Linked DNA regions of Schizosaccharomyces pombe. The gene in region 1 interacts genetically with each later gene. Each region holds a gene or a part of one and is shown in the gene's direction. Other genes may lie near its edges.

Region 1 (3,759 bases):
CTTAAAGAAATTATCAGCGGGGGATTTGCTCTGGTTGATGAGCTTTGCTCTCTGAATTCCAAGTTGTGGTTTTTTCGAAAATCAGTTTTAACGATTATGAAGACGACAGTATTGCATGGTCCTGGGAGGTTCTCGGCTCAAGTTGAACGAATGTTAAAGAACCAAATTTATGACAAGCTTTCAAACACTCAACTAGTGGGAGATTTATTAACTTCGTTAATCTTAAACGTATGGCCCGACGAAAAAAAAGCCATGGAATCACATTCGACAAGGGCACACAGACGTTCAACTGAATCTAAAATTTCCTTTGATAGCGAAGCCGATTCCCTTTTCGAAGAGGCTAGCAAATCTGTTCCTGAAGACCCTGTTTCAGTTTTTTGTGACGAGGAAAGCGATGAAAGTTTGAGATTACGAGCCGAAAAAACCCTTGTTGAAAACGCTTTATCTGAGAATTTTACTCTTATGCTTGGACAGTCAACCTCCGAGGAAAGCCTAAAAATTATTTTCGAACTGCTTCAAGAACCGCAATTCGTGCAAGGGTTCCTTGCACATTTACTTAGCAATGCTCTTCGTAGCATCATATAGTCAATCAAGGTATATCGCAAGTGTGCCGTATATTTATTTCTTTTCGCCGATATATACCTGGCATTTTAATGATTTTTACTTCTTTCCCTTTTTTATCATTTTGTTTCCCTTCTCTTACATTTTAAAATTCCATTAGCTTTTGGTCGATACGTGATGACCGGTTTCATGATTAATCGCAAAATCAAACGAACCTTTAGAACCATTCCCTTGTTTTCTACCTCGTTTGTTAATATTTTATTATCCTACTTTCTTTTATATATTTATTTATAAAATCGTATTTTCGACTTTACCTTGCTTTAAGATTTGTTTGTTTAAAGTTGGCGAAGTCGAGAACTATCTTCTCTATCTTTAGTCAAGTTTGCGTTAATTTATACATATTGAGTTTCGTTTATTCGGTTAATTGTTCGTTCCGTTTTACAAGCAATCTAGCTTTTTGTGTAAGAAAAAGTTAGACGTGTATATGTTTAGAAAATTTAGTTGTAGGAACTATGATATTAATTGACAATCATATTCTGACACAAGTGGTCAATTGAATTGGATTGTTCAACTTAAGAGACCAAGTTTTGGCGGATTAAGCATAATTTTTGTTAACAGAATGACTTGAAGCAACTACCAAATTGTTGACATAGCAGTACCCAAAATTTTACGAAGGATGAAATTTTTTAAAGCAGAAAACGTTCGTTAATTTTGAGATTAACAGTAATTCTAGCATCTTCAAAGTTTGATGTTTGCTCAACAAGTTTTTGTTTTTACGGATAGCGACAGGAGTGTAATACCTCTGGTTTCGAGAAAACTTAAATATGAGAAGTTTAAACAAAATAATAATGCATTTTCGGTTGGGGTTTCAGCATGAACTTGCAAAACTGAAAAGATACTCAATTCAAACTTCAAAATATTCTTTTAAAGAAAACTGTAGTCTAGTAATCATACTGCTATTATAGAAAAATATAATCTTACGCAAGAACAGATTCCGCTGAAATTCGCAATGCTTATTTAACGAAAACGACTTTAGTGAAGTTTTAATAATTTCTAAGAACGTAAAATACCGAGTAATTGGATTCCCATTTGCTAGTATGTTCTGACCAGAACTAACACATCTTTTGCGAAATAACCATGTCGGAAAGAGACACTGCTTTAGAGAAATATAAATCCTATTTATTACAACATCGAGAATGGGATTCAAAACTGAAGGATTTGCGTTTTGGAAATCGAGATCTAGTCAAGAAATATGATAAAACAGAGGATGATATAAAAAGCTTGCAGTCGGTTGGTCAGATTATTGGAGAAGTATTGAAACAACTTGATTCTGAAAGATTCATTGTAAAAGCTAGGTAAGTAATTACTCAAACTTTTGGGAGATTGTTTGCTTTACGTGGAGGATATATACAAGTGAAATGTGAAAATGGATGTGAAGACCTTATTATTAGTAATGCATATGTTGGGCGTTGAATTCCTTCATAAAGAATTTTTTGTGGCGTATGAATGGGAACCATGTTTAAATGCATATAATCATTTGCCCGTTCCTTTTTTTTTTTAAAGATAAGTTCAGTGGGCAAAATCTGTGTTCAAAAACTGTTTGGTTCTAACCTCTCCATCCAGCAAAAATTCTTTTTGAAATGCGCACACGGTATAAAAATCTATAACCGGAAGCATGAAACACTCTGTTTACTGGTTTCATAGCAAATCGTTGGGAAAGTAGATACCTCACGTATAGTCATCCTTCTCTTTTTACAAATCTATCGTTGCATTAGTACACTATTTTTTATTTCCTTTCATTATTTTCTGTTTCCCTAACCTATTCTAGCTCTGGTCCACGTTACGTTGTAGGTTGCAGAAACAATGTCGACCAATCTCATTTGGTTCAAGGCGTTCGTGTATCTTTAGATATGACCACGTTAACCATTATGCGTATTCTTCCTCGTGAGGTTGATCCTCTCGTTTACAATATGTCAATTGAAGACCCTGGTGACATTTCTTTCGCCGGTGTCGGTGGCTTGAATGAACAAATTCGTGAATTGCGTGAAGTTATTGAACTACCTTTAAAGAATCCGGAATTATTCCTTCGTGTGGGAATTAAGCCACCAAAAGGTGTTTTGCTCTATGGTCCTCCTGGTACTGGTAAAACTCTTTTAGCTCGTGCCGTGGCGGCATCTTTAGGTGTTAACTTTTTAAAAGTAGTTTCCAGTGCTATCGTTGATAAATATATTGGAGAATCTGCTAGAATAATTCGTGAAATGTTTGGCTATGCAAAAGAGCATGAGCCATGTGTTATTTTTATGGACGAAATTGATGCTATTGGTGGTAGAAGATTCTCTGAAGGAACATCTGCTGATCGTGAAATTCAGCGTACATTGATGGAATTATTGAATCAGATGGATGGTTTCGATTACCTTGGCCAAACGAAAATTATCATGGCGACAAATCGTCCTGATACTCTAGATCCTGCCTTGCTTCGTCCTGGTCGTCTAGATCGTAAAATTGAAATTCCCCTACCAAACGAAGTTGGTCGTATGGAGATTTTGAAAATCCATTTAGAAAAAGTCTCTAAACAAGGCGAAATTGACTATGAAGCATTGGTTAAACTGACAGATGGAACAAATGGTGCTGACTTGCGGAATGTGGTTACAGAAGCAGGATTCATAGCCATTAAAGAAGATCGCGACTATGTCATTCAGTCCGATTTAATGTCCGCAGCTCGTAAGGTTGCTGACCTGAAGAAACTTGAAGGTACAATTGATTACCAAAAGCTTTAGTGCACATATATCCAAAAAGCCATGAAATGATAAGTTTACCGATGAAGATTATACGCGCAACTGCATAGTTATGATTAAAAAGGTCGAATAGTAAGTGAAACGTTTACTTTTAATATATTCCGACTCTTTTGGCTTTTATCATGTATATATGAATATGCTTGATGGGAATCTATGTATATTATCGTAAGGCATATCTGTGATAGTACAAACTGATTTTCTTCAATATTTGATTATGTTTTCCATATCCTCCAAATACCAAACATTGTTTTTCCACTCTACATAATTTACTGGCGACAAAAGAAAAAATGATCAAGTAAAAATAAACAATTAATTATACACATGAATTAAAAGTAAAGCAAATGTTTGACTAGAAATTATTAACTAACCAAATGCACTGAAGTGTAAAGAACGAACTAAATAT
Region 2 (3,759 bases), on another chromosome or scaffold:
AGTATCGTCAGCTACCAAATGATTTACACTCACTAACTCCTGTTTTGCTAAATTGATGGATTTGAGAACGGCCGATGATTGAGATACCGAAGTTTGTACATTGGATTCCAACGACAAAAAAGGATCTATTGGAAAATCGTGTTTCTCTTCTTGCTCCGCATCAAAAGATGAACTATCAAAATACTTATCCGAGGAAGACTCCAAAAATACAGAATCGTCGTTTTCATCCTCAGTTACCAAAGTATTTTTAGAATCTTCACTTTCATCTATAGTTTCGCCTTTTTCGGCATTCAGTTGAAGCTCGTGAAGGCAAATTCTTAAATTTGTTAATTCCAATGTCAGTTTGTTCTTCTCATCGTTAAGTGAAACGGTCAAAGACTCTACTTCTGTCAATTTTTTCATTAATCCTTGTAGTCTTTGTTCAAGCAAATCCCTTTGTCCTTGCACCTTAGTCTTCTCTTTCATAAGTGTTTTCATGTTTGAAGAAAGTAGATCAAGTTGCTTGATTAAATGGGCATTATCCACTGACAACTTTTTATGCAAATCTTCTTTCTCTGACAGTTGCAGCCTTAAATACCGCAACTGTTGCAGAAGGTTTAAGCCAATGTTAGTAGCATATTGTAGATTGGTTTCAGTAACTGAATATTGATCTACTTGAGAAGACTCACTGAAGCAATTTGTGTTCTTCCTTCTTTCAATTGCAATGTCTTGACGTTGAATAGTAAGCATCTCCGTAATTCTCACCTCCTCCTCCGCTAAATTTTTTTCCAAGTCGCGTAATTTATATCGATTATCAAATTTGTTATTAAAATATGTTTTATTTTCCTTTTGAACCACTTGGTCTTTAATTTCTTGTTCGATTTTTCGTGTTTCACAAAGAATGCTTTCCTCTAACGCTTTCGCATAAGCAAGCTTTATTTTTGCACTTTCATTTCTATTTTTTAAATCAATTGAATATAATTCCACCTCGTTATCTTGTTTTTTCTCCATGAAGGATCAGTATATGTTTTGGTAAGCTCAACTCTCTTTGTCTTTTATATATCGATAAACTCGTAAGCATGCATATCGCAACAGTCATCGTCTTGAATACATAATTTTTATTTCTGGAATTATATCAATTCAATTCGTGTTCTCATTTGGCAAATTTCTCGTATTACGCTTTAACAATAAAACTTAGTAAAAGCAAAAAAACTGTATTTATATTGATGCATTTGCTAGAGTACTTGAATATCTAGCGAAGCTTTAGCAGCTTTCAATATATATATCGGTATAAATACCATTAGTTTGTACTTAAAAATTAACTATTACTTTACAAATGTACCCTGAGCCTCATGATTGACTTGCAAAAAATTGATTTGACGAGGCTACACATGTGTTTAGACAATAATTAACTTTATTTATATTCATATTTAGTTTATTTACTATTTCGAAAAGATTTAAATGCTAATTGTAGACAGTATAAAACGTTTAAAACACAACTCGATATAAGGATTGATTACAGCATATACACCGAGCGGTGAAGTACTCATCGTTAAAATGCATAACGTCCGTTAATGATATTGTTGTAAACAGATACCGAATTACAATGAAAAATAGTGACTGAAAGCACCACGATCACGTATATAATAGTTATTTGACTCTATAAAGAACATAATTCTGCCATAACACTTCAAAATTATGCACGTGAAATATACATAGTACACTGCTTAACAAATCTATTTGTTATATTTTAGGCAAACCAAATAATTAAGTAAAGCGGCATTGCCATTTAATGAGAAATACATTTATTAATAATTACAATCTTGGTGCAATCTACGGTATTGCATTCATTCACCACCACGTTTGAATTTCGTCTTCACTTTTGAAAATTTGGTGACGAACGCCAACGTCGTAAATTCGAAGCTGACGTCTACCCTTAATCCGCCGTAGAAATGGATTCTACGAAGGAAGAGGAAGATTTAAATAATAATATTGATGAAATTTCAGATGGAGAAAATGAAGAAGAGGAATTAGACGAAGCAATTGCAGCTGCATTGCAGAAGATCGAAGTGCCATCGATTCCCAGACGTGTAAAAGTGTACGAAATGGAAGATGAAAACTGGGTAGACTGTGGCACCGGTTATTGCGATGGAAAAATAGAGGGACCGTTGGCTTATTTCATTGTGCGTTCAGAAGCTGATAATGAAACCATCCTTTTGAAAACACAATTGATTGCGGAAGATATATACAGCCGTCAAGAAGAAACTCTCATAGTCTGGCAAGAATTGAATGGTACTGATCTTGCTTTAAGCTTTCAAGAATCTAGCGGTTGTATAGACATGTGGATGTTTTTAGCAAATGTTCAAAAGGCAATATCATCGGTAACTAGAAGTTACTCCAACGATGATATATTGACGGATGAGGGGGCGCTTAATGAAAACTACCTAAACACGGTCGATCTTCCAGCCCCAGAGCTTGCTAATTTAAAAGAAATTGAAGAAGCAGTATATGGATATATGCAGTCTATTCAATCAAGAGATAGTTTGGTTCGTTATGTTTCAAATGAAAATTATATTGATAGACTTATTGAACTTTTTCCTCTGTGTGAGGATCTAGAGAATACAGATGACCTTCATCGATTGTGTTCCATAATAAAAAGCTTTGGTATGTTAATCTACTTTATACTTTTTAGATTCGTTAAATCCTTGCTAATCGCTGTCAGTGCAATTGAACGACGCCCCTTTACTCGAATCGTTGTTCTCTAATGATGAAAAGCTAATGTGTGTAGCTGGTATTCTCGAATACGATCCGGAATTCCCCAATATCAAAGCGAACCATCGGGAATATTTAATGGATTCCAAAAAGTTTAAGCAGGTGGTTCCCATTCAGGATCCACGGATTCTTGCAAAAATTCACCAGACATTTAAGCTTCAGTATCTAAGGGATGTTGTCGTTTCAAGGATTGTTGACGAACCCTCCTTTTCGGTGCTAAATTCATTTATCTTCTTTAACCAGGCTGATATTATTCAATACCTTCAAACAAATGAAAAATTTTTACATGAACTGTTTAGCATTTATGTGAATGAAGGCGAGGATGATCAACGCAAGCAAGACGGTATATTCTTTATTCAGCAGGTTTGCAACATCGCTAAAGGGCTACAATTCCAGTCCTGCTCTGCATTATTTGCTACTTTCGTTAAATTTAATCTTCTGAAAGCTTTGGATTATGCAATGTCACATGAGAACAATTCCGTTCGAAATGCTGGTTCCGATATTTTGGTGTCTATTATTGATCATGAACCTGCCATCGTTTGGCAAAAGTTTGATCAAGATCGCAAGGACGCTTCTTCTTCATTGAGCAATGCTCACGTTTCCCAACATTCGTTGCTTTCCAATTTAATTAACATTTTGCATAAAGAATCAAATCCTGGAGTACTTGCTCAAATTTCTGAAGCTTTTAAAATGCTACTAAGTTTACCTGGTAGCTATGCATACAATAATCCTTACAGAAATGCTGATGGAAATGTTCGAAATAAAACCGATAACATTATTGGAATTAATTTTATTGAAAATTTTTATGATAACTCTTTTAATATGCTTGCTGCTCCTTTATTGGAGCTGGAAAATGTATCGAGTTTAGATGTTAAAAAGCTTGATATGTATATGCATTTGTGTGAGCTTTTTTGTTATTTTTTTCGTATACACGATTATTGGTCTCGTCGTTTTGATACATATAAAACCCTTACATCAAAAGTGGCTCTATTACTATACAGCGATAGA
Region 3 (3,591 bases), on another chromosome or scaffold:
CTAGTGTCTCAGATAAAGAATATTTGCGAATTCAGTGCTTTATTCAATCTTGCTTGCAATATCGTTTAACCCAGGATGAAAAATATCTCATTGATTTGGATGTGAAAGTTTGCAGTCTATTCAATACAAGTGCTCGTGAAGCTCTTATCCATTATGCAAAAGCTATGAAATTACTGTCAAAGTACAATAGTCGTGAAAATATGATTACCAAATTACGTGAAAGTAGTTTATATCTCCTATATGCGCCTACTGATGCATTTCTTTTACTTTTATTGGGTCTATTGATGAGACTTGTATTGTTGAATTATGGTATTTGGCATGATAGACGATCTGCCCTTAAATTTACGGACATCGATTATTTCGTGTTTTCGGACGCATCAAAATATGTCTCCATAGGAATGTCACCGTATATGCGTGACACATATCGCTATACTCCAATGTTGGCAATTTTGCTTCTTCCTACTCAATACGGATTTCCGTCGTGGGGTAAATATTTGTTTTCAATATCAGACTTAATTGCTGGGTGGCTTATGATTAAGCTCTTATCTAGGAGGATATCTTACAAAAGGTCGTTAATTTACTCTTCCTTCTGGATATTGAACCCATTCGTCGCCATAATCAGTACTCGAGGGAATTGTGAAGCCATTCTTGGTATATTGAGCATTGCTTTGTTGTATTTGATCGAAAAAAAATCAGTTTGGCTAGCTAGCCTAATACTTGGGTTTTCTGTGCATTTTAAAATTTACCCATTTATGTATGGGATTGCTTTCTTAGTATATTTTTCAAAACCAAAAAAAGGGTCCACTTTCATGGAAAAATTTCTATCTTTATTATCGATTAATCAGTTAAAGATTGTTGTTGGTTCTTTGTTTATGTTTACGATATGTAATTTATTGATGTATTACCTTTACGGGTCTCCATTCCTTGAACATACATATCTTTACCACTTTGGTAGAACAGATCATCGACATAATTTCTCTCTACATCATTTAAACTTATACTATGAATCATCTTTCGGAGCAAAAGCGTCTTCTTTATTTGCATTTCTGCCGCAGTTAAGTTTGTGCATGCTAATACCCTTGGTCTTTGGAAAAAAGAATTTACCTGGGACTCTATTTGCCCAAACATTTGCATTTGTAACCTTTAATAAGGTTTGTACCAGTCAGGTATGTTAAGTTTGAAATTAGAAGAATGACGGATTATACTAACAACTTAGTATTTTATGTGGTATCTAGTATTTCTACCTCTGGTTTTACCAAACTCTAAGCTTTTAAGTAAGAAGGGACTTATTTGTCTGTCTCTGTGGATTATTGGTCAGCTGTTATGGCTTATTAGTGCATACAATTTAGAAATGTTGGGAAAATCGGTATTTATACCTCTTTGGCTTTCCGGCTTACTTTTTTTTTTTTTTAATGTTTATGAATTAAAAATAATATTAGATTCTTTGTAGTTAATAATCAATCTGTTTTAAGTTCTATGCAATAGATGATTTTTATAAGGATGTTCTACATTATTTCTTCACCACCGCATTAATAAGTGTAAACATTGGAAGATGACCACCCCCATTGTTTTTTGCAACCCCAGCAATATAGAAGAAAGCCTTTTGTATATTAACAAATCTTTATTTTCCAAAGGAGTAATACAAGCTGAAAAGTTACGCCTTTCTCATGACATTCGTGATAATTGCAACATAGTGAACATCATATATCGTTTATTAAGAGCAACTGACGAAGAACGTTTAGAAAAGGAATCTCTTCTTGATGCTATTAAAAATAATGAATATGAAAAGCAAAGAGATAACAATACAATAAAACGGCTCAAAAATGAGTTGGAGCTTTATCAAAACGAATGTCAATTGCAACTGAATAAAGTTAGAACACTGGAAAGAGATCAAGCTGAATTAATTACACAAAATAAAGGTTTGAAAGATGTAAATGCTAAAAATGAATTGACTTTGAAGGCATTAAAGAATCAATTATCTGTTTCATTACGCCAGCATGAGCAACAAATGGAGACTTTGAAAGGTAACTATGGACTAGTGAAAGCTCGAAAAGGAAGAAACCTAAATAGTATGTTAATCGTTAAAGAGCCTATTAAGCAAAACACAAATGCCCCCATACTACCTGAGACCGCTTCATTTTTGCAACAGAATGATGAAAATTCCAATTTCCTTAACAGTAGGGTGAATAACGATGAATTTCAATTGTTAAAAGGATTAAATAACGAATTGAAAAAAAGTAACGGAACACTTTTGACATGTTTAAGTGGTACCTTGAATTCACTGGTAGAGATGTTAAGTCCTTTATACGAACGTCCTAACTCGAACCCGTTTGAAGTATGTGAACTGAATGCTATCCTTCTTGATGCAAAAATTCAAAATCAGCTGCTTTTTATTCGTAATCTGTTGCATGAACGTAAATATGTTTCAATTGATGAATTGGATGCAATATTAGAGGAAAACGAGAAAAATAAACATTTGATAAACATTCTTCAAAAGGAGAACAAAAGAGTTTTTGAATTTTTAACAAATATGCACGACAAATTTTGACTGACTTTTAACGTAATAATTTGCTGCTTCGATTTCTTAAACGAAAGCCAATTTATTAATAATAAAGAACGCAATTCAAAGACACTTATATTCCTCTTTGAGAACTGGAAGATTGCTTTTTATTTTTTTAAATATTTATTTATTGTAAACAAGTGCATCTTCTTTCACTAAGTACAGAATTTTGAAGGCAAATTTCTATTCTCAATTGAACGATTTAACATACCTTAAAATGTGAAACTGTTAAACAGTGCACCAGGGCTTTGAAAGCATGTTGTTAAAGGATTGTAGGCACTAGCTCAAGAAAGTCGATTTAATTATTTCCATGTAAAAGTTAGTTGGAGCACTTACGATTGTGTTTAATCTTCAAAAAAATAATTAACCGGAATATTTTCTAAAAAGTCATAAGTTATTTTTAATTCTTTTTTATATTTGTAAAAAAACACCTACATAATTATAAATATATTGATATTTCGAATTTCAATTCTGCTCAAAACTACTAACACACCCCTAATAGAACAAAATATTTAAGGTACTAGTAAGCTTCAAAAATCATTATTGGTGGTTTTGTTAAAAAAGTAAAAATCAGAGTTACTATAATGATAAATAAATTTTAACAATTTTTTTTTTTAATTATACTTTTTAAGCGAATACGTTGGTGTATTAATTTTATTGGCGACAAGTCTTTAGCGAATTTAGAATAGCATTAGTAGTGTGATCAAGTACATTAGTTTTTTTTGTCAAATGTGTTCAATGTTAAACAATATAATTACCTTTTGTTATTGAAATCACATTTTCTTATTGTTTACATTTTTTAACATATAGTGCTATATATCAAGGATCGTTAAGTAGCATTGTGCATTCCCTGATACATTATGGCGCTTGCTTGGACTGCCATTTGGTTGCTCTACTTACACTATTCCACATTGAGATAAAGAATGGGTTATGAGGAGGCTTTCTTTAGATGGGCATTTCTTATAGCTACTGTTTACGTTGCGTACTATTTTTTAGTCTCAAGTGATAAAAAATTAGCTACCAAACCTCAA

What was found.
Region 2: mutations in rpt4 (region 1) and psy2 together harm fitness more than expected from each alone (negative genetic interaction), as found in Schizosaccharomyces pombe (one large-scale study listed by BioGRID).
Region 3: mutations in rpt4 (region 1) and msd1 together harm fitness more than expected from each alone (negative genetic interaction), as found in Schizosaccharomyces pombe (one large-scale study listed by BioGRID).

The regions. Positions count from the first base shown.
Region 1 is NC_003421.2:403,914-407,672, forward strand, and holds rpt4 (proteasome regulatory subunit Rpt4), read left to right. Parts: upstream 1-1,687; 5' UTR 1,688-1,698; coding exon 1,699-1,916; exon of another isoform or gene 1,917-1,970; intron 1,971-2,338; exon of another isoform or gene 2,339-2,389; coding exon 2,390-3,338; 3' UTR 3,339-3,682; downstream 3,683-3,759. Other genes in the region: mug122 (PX/PXA domain protein), read left to right, coding at 1-585.
Region 2 is NC_003423.3:895,306-899,064, reverse strand, and holds the start of psy2 (serine/threonine protein phosphatase PP4 regulatory subunit 3 Psy2), read left to right. Parts: upstream 1-1,650; 5' UTR 1,651-1,931; coding exon 1,932-2,643; intron 2,644-2,701; coding exon 2,702-3,759. Other genes in the region: dynein-anchoring factor Num1, read right to left, coding at 1-990.
Region 3 is NC_003423.3:3,049,028-3,052,618, forward strand, and holds msd1 (microtubule-anchoring factor Msd1), read left to right. Parts: upstream 1-1,523; 5' UTR 1,524-1,552; coding exon 1,553-2,548; 3' UTR 2,549-2,932; downstream 2,933-3,591. Other genes in the region: gpi14 (pig-M family mannosyltransferase), read left to right, coding at 1-1,166, 1,217-1,450; SPOM_SPBC13E7.07 (uncharacterized protein), read left to right, coding at 3,484-3,591. UniProt on the Schizosaccharomyces pombe protein: Has a role in meiosis.